3 linked regions of the Sus scrofa genome follow. The protein of the gene in region 3 interacts with the protein of the main gene of each other region in a biochemical or structural test. Links are inferred from orthologs where the notes say so. Each region holds a gene or a part of one and is shown on either strand. Other genes may lie near its edges. The genes, in order: HTR2C, CNTNAP4 and APBA1.

Evidence for each region.
Region 1: the proteins of APBA1 (region 3) and HTR2C form a complex in vitro, tested with the Homo sapiens proteins (2 studies listed by BioGRID and IntAct, with this or other methods). The link is inferred for Sus scrofa from reciprocal best matches to the Homo sapiens genes APBA1 and HTR2C.
Region 2: the proteins of APBA1 (region 3) and CNTNAP4 form a complex in vitro, tested with the Homo sapiens proteins (2 studies listed by BioGRID and IntAct, with this or other methods). The link is inferred for Sus scrofa from reciprocal best matches to the Homo sapiens genes APBA1 and CNTNAP4.

Annotation. Positions count from the first base shown.
Region 1 is NC_010461.5:94,052,461-94,056,208, reverse strand, and holds the start of HTR2C (5-hydroxytryptamine (serotonin) receptor 2C, G protein-coupled), read right to left. Parts: upstream 2,763-3,748; 5' UTR 2,192-2,762; intron 1-2,191. UniProt on the Homo sapiens protein: G-protein coupled receptor for 5-hydroxytryptamine (serotonin).
Region 2 is NC_010448.4:11,587,385-11,591,132, reverse strand, and holds the start of CNTNAP4 (contactin-associated protein-like 4), read left to right. Parts: upstream 1-1,504; 5' UTR 1,505-1,522; coding exon 1,523-2,243; intron 2,244-3,748. UniProt on the Homo sapiens protein: Presynaptic protein involved in both dopaminergic synaptic transmission and GABAergic system, thereby participating in the structural maturation of inhibitory interneuron synapses.
Region 3 is NC_010443.5:222,987,246-222,990,993, reverse strand, and holds the start of APBA1 (amyloid beta A4 precursor protein-binding family A member 1), read left to right. Parts: upstream 1-995; 5' UTR 996-1,248; intron 1,249-3,748. UniProt on the Homo sapiens protein: Putative function in synaptic vesicle exocytosis by binding to Munc18-1, an essential component of the synaptic vesicle exocytotic machinery. May modulate processing of the amyloid-beta precursor protein (APP) and hence formation of APP-beta.

The sequences.
Region 1 (3,748 bases), on a different chromosome or scaffold from region 3:
TTGTGTTATTATTTGAAATTATGTCATCCATGACAACTCTAGATCTAGACCTCTCAAGAAAGAATAGGAAAGGTTAATAACCTTCTCTAGATTATGCAGCATGAAAAACGCTATCAGTGTTGGTTTAAGCACCCCAGATCCTACCTTGACATTGCAATCAAAAGCCTTATCCACCTTCCGAATCTCAGGACTTGCGTTGGGCTTGTTGCTGTAGATGATAAAAGCTATTAGGAAAGAAATTGTGTGAACGAAAAAAAATATTTTATTTCCTTCCAGAAGGCTCAGAAGAACATATTTAGGGAATGAGAAATATAATTAAATATTCTATAACCTACCTCCCCAAAATATAGAAAAATTATGTAATTCCTCCCACCCATGGGGGAAAGGTAGATGACTACCAAGCATCAAGGTATCATGGTGCAAAGAAATCATACTTTTCTGAAAGGATGGTATTCAGTGTGACTTAAATACTGCAAAAAAAAAAAATGCAATGATCATGGTAGAAATCATTGTTTTTTTCTGTAGGGCATGTCAATTGGCCTTTTTCATTGTGTCTACACCTATATAGTCAACTAGAGAAACACTTGGTTTCTACCATGTTCATATTTTGATTGTTAGAATGATTGCTACGTAGATAAATTTTTTTCTTTTTTCTCGGGGGGGGGGTGGCACCCGGGCATTTGGAAGTTCCTGTGCCAGGGATTGAACCCGTGCCACATCAGTGACCCAAACTGCTGTAGTGACAAAGCCAGATCCTTGACCTACTGTGCCACAAGAGAACTCCTAGATAAAATCCTTAATTTAAATTCTGAAACAGAGATGTCTTTTGCATCACTGTGTGTGTGAGGTCACAAATGTCTGCAAACTGGGAAGCTCAGAGATTACTTACTGCGCAGCATCTCCCTTAACCCCAATCATTAAAAATCAATGGATTTTCCCCTAGAGGGAGATTCCCTTGGTTAGCCTACCTAAAAGATATGTGGTGAGGTTGTTCAGGGGCTTAGCAAAGGCTTCTCTGGAGGGGACCTGTGACAGTAAATAGTAATGTTATAGTTAATAGTAATGCTGTGCGGTACCGGCAGTGATTCTCAATCAAATCAGATTTTCTCTAAGTGCCGAATATCGCCCGCTGAATTTGAGTAGAGGAGCGCTGTCGCTTAAAATGGGATTCGGACAGAATACAAAATGTTTGTCACCTCAGGTCGCCTATTACCCAACAGGAAGCAAAAAGCAAAGGGCACGGCGCAGAAAAAAAACAGACACACAGACACGTTTTGCAATGACGAACTTTATGTGGCGTCAGGACCGGCAACCTGTTCTCATTATGTTTAGCAATTCCGAGGTACGCTGTTACGATTACTTGTCAGGTTAAACTGAGTAAAGGAACTGGAATAAGAGGCAGCGCTGGAGACGTCTCGGCAATCCTTTTCAAAATATAAAACTGTCACCAAGTGACTTAGGTAAGCTAGTAAGAAGGCTCGCTGTACGCCCTTAGACCCTCCGATTAAACTTACGTGATCGTCAGCACCCCTGTTCAAATTCAGCCAACAGCAGTTAGACCAAGACACAGATCCGCAGTGTTTGTCTCCCCTGAGTTATCAGTGTTTACTGAGACCCTCCAAAAATTAGGGTCTGTTTTCAATGAGAACTTAATAGAGGATCTTTCGTCCCCTTTTGCTTCCATTGTCCCAATCCTTAAGCCCCCTCCCACTTGCCCAATATCAGATTTCTTTAAAACGTAGTCCGTGCCCTCAATTCATTTGCACCTTCCGCAGCCCGAACCTTTGCCCAGAGACACCTATGTTCAGTCTCGTCTCCCACTCTCCCCTCTTCCCTCTCACTTCTTGAGATCTCACGCCCGCCTCCCCTCACTCTCAGCTTCCCGGGGGCGTATTCTAGAGACCCCCGCCTTCGCCCTTCGCCTGTTCCTCTGGAGTCACCCCTCCCAACCTCTCTCGAGACCTCGGTGCCCCTCCCTTGGAACCTAAGTCCCTCGCCCCTCCCTAAGACCCCAGACTCTCCGCGATTTGCGCGTTCAGAGTCCCTCCCAATCCCCGCCCCCCTCACCTCCCGCCCGGGCCAGTGCGGTCCTGAAAGCTGCAACGTACGGGACCTGTCCCTGCTCGCCACGCCATCCCCCGCCTAAACCATTAGGGTCTTGGCTAGCAATGACGCCCGGGTTCCAACTTACCACAAGCGTCCGGGAGGAAGGCAAGGCAGCGGTCGCCGCGGCGGCAGCTAGACGAGAAACGGACTCGGCTGCAATCGCCCAGCGGAGCCCGCGGCAGTCAGTGCGCTGCGCTGCGCGCCGCAATCTCGCGCCTCGGCGGAGAGAGGGACGGAGGGAGCTCGGCGCGATAGCAAGCGCCGGCTAGTCGACCTCCTCCGGGCGACCGTGCACCCCCGGATTGGTTTGGCTTTTCTTGTTCCACTATCTTACTCTAGCATAGTAACTGACCACCTCCAGCATCTCTGCGCTATTCGCGTCTTCTTTCTTCTTTGGTGGCCCCTAACTAACTACACTATTCTAAACGGACGAAGGCCATCACGGGAGCACCACGACGATCTCGACGACTCCGACGACAACGATGTGCAAGAAGAGGTAAGAAAAGTTCATATGCAATCGCAGGTAAGGGGCAGGCAGGCCGATGGAGCAGCCAAGGCTGGCAATCTAGCTGCTCCAAAGGCAGGATCGGAAAGATCCGTGCACCCGAGGAGCGGAGTGTCCTCGGCGAGCACCAGAGCGCCTACCCAGCGCCGATGAAGCTGCATCGCTCTCTTGGGCTAAACCAGGGATGAGGGGCGGAGCCAAGAATGGCCAATCGGCGCTCAGGAATCCACTGCCCCCGGCCTGTTTGGACCAGTCTCTTAGTGCAACTGGAGCCTGCTGGCAGGGGGCGCGGGACCCCTTGGTGGTGGTGGTGGTGGTGGTGATGGTGGTTGTGGTGGTGGTTATGGTGGTGGTGATTAACTTGATCCATGAGGCCTGGGCCGGGGGAGGGTGGTAGTGGGGGGGAAATGGGGGTGTCAGTCGGGGGGAGCCAGGCCCTCAAGAATGTACCCTTAAAGATTCAAAGAACATCCCTCCCGGAACATGCACACACACCCCACACACTCCCTTGAACATTTCCGTTCAACAATTCTCAAGTCTTGGAAGTTACCACGAGCTTTGAAATTCAGTCCCTGACTCCTGCCACTTTCCCCAACAAAGCAACTGAGGCATTCAAAGGGTCACATACATTTAGGGGGCAAAGGCCTTAGTCCAATTATAAGGATCGATTCCCCACCCTTGTCCTCAGCCCCAAATACAAAGAAGGGAGAAAGGAAAGTCCTTGGCCTTCGTGCTCCAAGAGGGCACATCTTATTTCCATTCTTGAACCCCCAGCCCCCAGCTGAGTGCTTAGAATGACGCCCTGAACCCAGCTCCTTTAGGTTTGTGAGACGAGGCTGCACATTTTTCTCCTGCGCAGAGCTTGGGGCCCAGAGCTATTTGGTTGCCCAGCCGCTGTGAGGACTGCCATGACATAGTGAAGACAGCAGGGCAAGGGGTGAACCACGAACCTCTCTTTTGGCAACTAAGGGGAGCCGATCATCAACAAGGCAAGAGAGCTCTTTTTCTTGGGCTCCCAAGGCGCCAGGAGAGTGCTTTCCATGTTAGGGCTGCAGCACAGAGAAGGGCGGTCTGGGCCACCTTGGCCGAGATGCCTCGCAGGCACCAGGACCAAGATTAACAGTGAAGATGCTCACA
Region 2 (3,748 bases), on a different chromosome or scaffold from region 3:
ATTTAATCCTCTTTAAGGGGGAAGGGGAGGGAGTGGGAAGGACTGGGAGCTTGGGGTAAATAGTGGCAGAATGTTGCCTTCGGGATGGCTTAGCAATGGGATCCTGCTGTGTAGCACTGGGAACCCTTGTCTAGTCACTTATGATGAAACATGTAATGTGAGAAAAAAGAATGTATACATGTAAGTATAACTGGGTCACCATGCCGTACAGTAGAAAAAATACATATATAAATGATGACTAAAAAAAAATCCTCTTCACTAACCACTTATCAGGAATTGTCAATTTGTATGTGCTTTTGCTTGACATGTTATGTGCAAAAATAACAAAATCAGAATGTAGTCCTAGAAATACAGAGTCAACCCTCAAGCAATGACCTTTCTTTTCCACTGCCTTTTTTTTTTTTTTTTTTCCCTTGCCAGGTTTTCACTGCCACAGACAGAGGTCAGGAAGGAGCTGTACTCTTATCTTGCGGCAGCAAGTCCCAGGGAGAGAGCAGGAAAATTGGAGTCAGAAAACCAAAGCTCAAGCCTCAGTGCTTTACTTAGTAACTCTGTGATCTCAAGTTGTTTAAATTCCCTGTTCTTGTTTTCTCATCTGCAAAACAGGCAAAGTAAAATGATCCTCTGCTTTGTTTGTAGGCAAGAGTTAGCTCTTACAGTTTTATGGGAAAACACTTCTGTCCGTTCCCTTTTATTTCATTCATTCCATAGCAAAGTTGTTGCTGCCGAAGGCTTGTTTCTTCTGATGTATAATCATCAGGAAGTGCTTGAGAACCTCAGGATTCCTGGTCTATAAAATTTAGCAGAGCATCAGCTAAATATCTTGACATTTAATTTCAAGAGATTATTTATCATTCTGTGACATTCTGTGATTCAGTTATTATTATGTGGTATGAACTCCATCATTTTAGTATTCTGTTCAAGAACTGGCCGTATCCATGGATCAGCCATTAGAAGAGTGATTTTTCTGTAGTCTGTGGTCTTCTGAACTCAACTTGACACTTCTCTCCTTTAGACTATTTGAATTACATCTTTATATTGTTTAGGTTTGGGGTGTGTGTGTGTGTGTGTGTGTGTGTGTGTGTGTGTGTGAGTGAGAGAGCTCCCTTTCTTCAGTATCGTATCCATTTTATTTTTGGGCCTTTTGGGAATTGTTATTAAAGACTTTGATGGTAGAATGCCACTGTGAATTCACAGCCTGATGCATTCAAATAATCTATCCAAAGCATTCAGTTTGTGGATCTGTACTCCTGATGCACTAAAATAAGAAATTTTAATTTCTTGCAGGCTATTACTAGATGATTTTAAATATCTGCCAAACAGGAATGTCTGTTTGCTTGTGAGGCATTTCCATAATAAAATCCTGGCACCAGAGCTGAAGAGGATAGTTTTATATAAACAGAGAAAAACAACAGCAAGAATTTTCCCCAAGGACGGTTTTAGCTACAATTTACCAGTGCGGCTTAGTTATTGCTGTCTCATTTTATGCTTTTGTTTTGCAACAAAACACAATTTTACCTGGATGCCCTCCCGGCTGATCAGGAATCAGCTCGGTCGGTTGACTGGCTCTGCCGAAGGCAAGACCTTCGGAAAATCAGGAGGCGCCACCGCCTGGCCCCTCCCCCCACCGACATCTCCGGAGGGGAGAAAAGGGTTAAGGATTATTGAAGAATCGAGCAGAGGGGAGGGAGCCCCGAGGAGGCCGGGGAGCTGCAGGCCGCGCCTCCAGGTCCGGCTTTCATCACAGAGCAGCGCGCGTGGAGCTCTGAGCGCGGCTGTGGATTTGGAGGACGGATGCGGCTGCCAATTTCTGGGACCACGGCGGAGAGGAGTGGGCGTGGCCTCGGCGGTGTGGATGCTCGTTAGAAAAGATGCTGGGCGCTTTTCAGGGAGCAGTCAGGGCTGTGGTGTGTGTGTGTTTGTGTGTGTGAGAGTGAGAGGGAGGGAAGGAGAGAGGGAGAGAGAGAGAGGAAGAGAGAGAGGGAGGGAGGGTGGGAGGGAGGAAAAGAGAGAGAGAGAGAGAAGGGAAAGAAGGAGAGAGGCTGAGAGACCCAGAGGTGCCGAAGACCCAGACAGAACTGGGAGAGGGACAGAGAACGCGACCCGATCCCTTGGAGAGCCACTCAAGATCTTTTGGGGAGGCCAGATAAATGTGAACATGGGGTCTGTCACCGGAGCTGTCCTCAAGATGCTACTTCTGCTATCTACTCCAAATTGGAACAGGGTTTTAGCTGGGAATTCCTGTAAGTATCCAGCAAATGATTTAAAACTTGCAGGGGGCCTCTCTGCAAAACTTTAATTCTCTCGTTTTTTATGATTATTATTTACAACTGGAATTGCCGCAAAGCATGTTGCTATAAATGAAGCATCACTTAAAAATCTTGCACATATGATTGGGTTGACACATGTCATTCCTTTTGGTCTGATCAGAATATGCAAAGTGTCATTTGTCTTTTTGTCTAGGCGCAGCATCTTATCCTCTGGTCTTTGTGTGTTCCCTGAGAAGGCTCAAGTTCTAGTAAAACACTAAATGAGCGTCTTGACCAGAGAATCGCCTGTGCATGGCTTCCTTTCTTTCCTTTTTTAGGTTTACTAGATTTTATTGGAATTGAGTCTAACAGGAAAACAACTGGCAGACTTTACACTATGCTGCATTAGCTTAGGTTTCTGAAGTTTGCTATTTGGCAGCCTGATGGCTGGCTGCATCTATAAAATGATGCCAGAATAATAGCTGAAATGTACTGCAGAATTCAGGGGCACAGTTGGTGGAGGTAAACTTCAATATTAAAAATTGCGCCCTCGCTGCTCTAAGAATGAGACTCGAACATTCCTGGGAGAAGGGGCTTGCTTCCTACATGCTGTGTCCTGAAAAAAACAAAAAAACCAAAAAAACCAAAAAAAAAAACCAACAAAAAAATTCAGATGATTTCCTGAACATTCAGATGATTTCTTTGGTGGCCGAATTTTTAACTTTGTACATGTGTGTTTGAATATGCTGGTTCTGAATTAATGGGCTCAGGGAAGATTTATTAAGATCTTATTTCTAATTTGAGTATCATCCAGAATAATGTGGCAGAGAGCCCTTCTTCCACTTTGTTTGAGAGATAAGAAAAAGTTGTCAAAGTTATCTTTGGCTTAAAATCTCAAAAATGGGAGCATTTTCCCTCTCCTTTGATGAGTGATCAACAAGCTCAGCAAATACAACTTTTTCTCTCTTTCCTGGATTTTAAAAGCTCATCTGCTTTTCAAGAAAGAGCTATGAGGCCTCTTCAGGAATTTATGTTACTGCTGTTCAGCCAGGTTTGGGTTTGGGGGACACGAATACACCAGTGAGCAGGCATTTGTTATGACACATCCCTGGAGTGTACGAAAGTGCTCTGATGTGGGAAGAGCATTGTAAATGACCTCACTGGCACCAGTCAAATGATCATTTACCCTGTGTGGCCACGGGGATTTCGTGCTCCCCTTCAGTATCATCGCATGTCCTGGTGTCATCTGTCACTGTGAAAGAACTTCACTCAGGCCCTGCCCTGTGCTGCTGTTTAAATTTTGGGATGTCAGAATCCCGTGAGTCAGTGAACGGTGCATGTTTTCACCTAGTCAAAAATCTTGGCATGCTGGTAGCACTTGACAAACATTACAACAAACAGTAACAACACAGAGCCACATGCACACACACTCACACACACTCACACACACACACACACACACACACACTCACACAGTTTTGTAGAAAAGTAATTCATCG
Region 3 (3,748 bases):
TTATTATTACTGAGAAATCTGTGAAGAGAAATGATTTCGCTCATAATACATTGCCAATTATAGGTGAGGCTGTCGACAGAGCCCAAGTCCCCTGAGGCCTGTCTATCCCACTGCTTTTCATTAACGCACAGCACCTGACACCTGGTTCCTGCTGCTAAGGCTCCCCCCCACCCCCACTCTTATTCCCTCCCAAGCATATCTGGGACTGATGCCCTAAGCTAGGCTCAAATACAGTCTAAATTCTGACCAACCAGAACTGAGAAGCAGGTAGAAAAATTAAGCCGAGCATCTCCCGGCAGAAGCTTTCTGCTCTTCCCCCAGGAACGGACTCTTCCCCTCAAGGGCGGCAAACGCGGCCCGTTTAGCTCCAGCTCAAACCCGAGCGACTCGCCCCCTGGCGGCGACAACGCAGGACTGCAGCGCTTTCCGAGACGCCAGCCACCCTCTTTTCTGAAGGGGTCTTGTGCAGCCGCGGGGCAGCGAAATGCAGGCAGGGCCGGAAGAAGAGAAGCTCGGTAGTAACTCAGCAAAGGGAACACCCCTCAGGAGCCAAAGCAGCGGCCCGACCTCGTGGTCCCACAGCGCGGCCCATCCTGTCGGGGAACCCCCTCTGGGCTTCCGCCGAGGAGGCGGGGGTGTCCCCATCAGTCCCCTCGCGGAGACAACCCCACGTCACGCTCAGTGCGCCCGGCCAGCAGCCAGAGGAGAGAACAGGAGGTCCGGCGGGGCCCACGCACTGCAAGACGCCCCTGCCCGAGCCAGGCACTTAAGAGCGACAAGAGGCAGCAGAGCCAGGCACGCCCACCCGCGTCGGGACCGGGGCGCTTCAGAGGCGGCGCGTGGAGGACACCGCCCAACTGCTTAGGGCTCGCGCGCCGCGCGTGCGCGCGGGTGGGCGTGGGAGGCAGGGCGCTCCTAGCACGCGGCGTGCGCGCGCGCGCTCCCCGGGGCACCCTCCCTCTCCAGCCGGCCGGCTCGGCCCCGGCGCGCGTCACGAGGGGCGGGCGGCGGGCGGGAGGGTGGGGAGAAGGGGGTGGGGCCGCGGGACCGAAGGGGCCCGAGCGGCGGCTGCAGAGCCCTAGCCCGAGATTGGCGAGGGAGGCTGAGGTCGTGGCGGCGGCGGCGGGAGAAGATGGTGGCAGTAGAGGTAGGAGCGGCTGGAGTGGAGCTTTATTCCCAGGCTTGGCACCAACGCTGTCATTAGCGCCGCCTGCTCCCGCGGGCCCGCGGACCCAGCTGTCAAGCAAGGTACCACCGCCAGGGAGGGGTGGGTGAATGGGGGCTCTCCGGCGCTGATGCTGCCCCCGACTGAGCCCCGGTCCTAGCGGAAGGGTGCCCCCGGGCGCGAGAGGAGCTGCGAGGAACAATAGTGCGGATAAGAGGGGACAGCCGGCGACATCCAGAGGGCAGTGCCTTTAGCCACGGAGCTAACGGGGCGGGGGAAGGAGGCGTTGAGAATTGGGATGCCGGGTGTCCGGTGCTTGCTGAAATGCAGTGCTTTGGGGACAGCGGCGGGCCTGATGACAGTCATGGCAGGAGTGTGTGTGTGTGTGTGTGTGTGTGTGTGTGTGTGTGTGTAAAAGGTAGAGCCTAAGGGATGGGGATGGCGAATGAAAGGTGTTGGGGGACGACATTTCCAGGAATCCCCGCTAGGAACCCTCAGCTCTTGGCTGACTGTGAAAAAGAGTGTGGTGATGGCAACGATGAAGTGGGCAGGAGGCACTTGGTGTGTGAATGTGGAGGGAGACAGCAGGGTGGGTGCGGATTTGTAAAATACCATGTGTGTGAATCTGTGTATGTGTGTGATTGTGTCCACGCTCCTCAAACTGCTCTCCAAATCCAGAGATCTGCGGGTGCCCCGACTTGCTGTCACCCGTTTACTGTGGGACACTGTTTGTTATTTCCATCCTGCAACTCTGAGTACCTTCTCTGTTCTGCTCCTGCCCCGTGGATGGCCGGGTGTGGGGATTCTCACTTCTCCTCACTCACCCTCACTTCCCCCTGTTCTCACATGTCTTTTGACATGGGGATGTGGAAGTGTGACTGTGGCTTTGGACCCATGGCAGAGAAAGAGGGTAATGGTTACCCTTTCTGGGCTTTCTGAAAGGTTTTGAGGGGAGCTTCCATCCTGTGACACCTCTCCTCTGTTCAGCCCCTGCTCTGTAAGGGTCTTAGATGCCCTGACACTGCAGTTTCTATTGTTTATCTCTGGTCTGACCTGAAGGAGAAGGGTCTTTAATGGCCACATCCCTCTCTCTTTCCCCCAACTTTGAATGTCAACTAGACCTTCTTCTTCCACATTTAAATACTGGAAATCTTATGGCTGAAGAATATGGTCTTTATGTTTATTCTTGTAGCATGAACTCTAGATGTGTGTATAAGAGATGGGAGGGGTGGTATTTAAAAGACGAAAAGATCCTACTGAGAAATATTTGGTACCCTCCTTGGTCAACGTCACACAGGCAGGGCGTTTTCCTTAGGAAAAGGGATACTTTATTTCTACTCCTGGTGTCATCTACTCTTCCAGGCTTCACAATGACTAGGTGGTACCATGTATTATTCCAGAACTGAAATCCCCCAAGACTCATGGTGGTGAGGTCCCAGGTCAGTGCGTAGTCAATGTAGCCTGCTAGTAGGGAATTTGGAAAATGTCAGGCTGGGAATAAGTCACCCAGTGGGAGCCAGGACACAGAATTGCATCCAGAGTCAATAGCTGTTTAATTGTCTCTGCGTGATAAAGATAGGCTTGTGTGGGGCTGGGTAGAGAGCGATAGGAAGGGAGATAGCATATTCATATATGTGTCCACTGCAGTTTGGCTCCCTGCTCCTGTGTTTCTCCTGCGGTATTTATAGAAATGAATGTACCTTTCCACTTAGTATCTTGATATTTCTTTATTAAAATGTCATGAGACTAGATTAACCTGCTTAGAACATATTTTAATCATAACACCTTAAATTCTACTGCATTGCTGTCGGAATCCAAACTGGCTGCCCTGATCCTTTTGAAAAGCCTGTAAGCAGTCATAGCTACACAAGTAAGTATACAACACATTGGCATCAGAGCTTTCTTTCTCTTTAAAAAAAAAATCGTTTTATTTTCTTTTTGCAGGAGTTGCATTGAAAATAATAATAGGAAAATAATAATAGGGCTGTCCACATATTTTTTTTCTTCCCATTTATCTTCTCTTAATTAATGATGATCTGTAGATCGGGTTTTCTTGGAGCTGTGAACATTAAATTTCCCACGTCAAGTCAAGTCTTGTAAAATTTTAATGGGAGGTTGTTGGACTGCATCCAGGATTTAAGGATAGATTTATAAAAATGAATTTTAATTCTTAGTTCTTCACTCTCATTAGTTCTGCTGATTTCTTCCTGAGAAAAGTACTTTGGAGTGTAAAAGGCATTCTCAGAGGTTTTGGATTTTCTAAAAAATAGTTGGCATCTTTATATCTGCAGGTAAAATTCAGAGATGTAAATGTCTAATAAGACAGTTTAAGAATATTATTAATTATCAAGATAAATAAACTGTTTTGAAAAAGAATAATTATACAACAGCACAGTTGATGACTCAAGAATTAGTGATTTTCTTTCTGACATAACTGTGATAATTTTTAAAATGCACTACTTAGCTTCCTAAAGTTGGGACTATTAAGGTTAATGATATAGCTTGAATCCTGTAATTCAGTCTGAGAAATAGTTGTACCTTTTGCTGTGGTCTGCAGCAAGCCATTTGTTTTGCATGGATGCA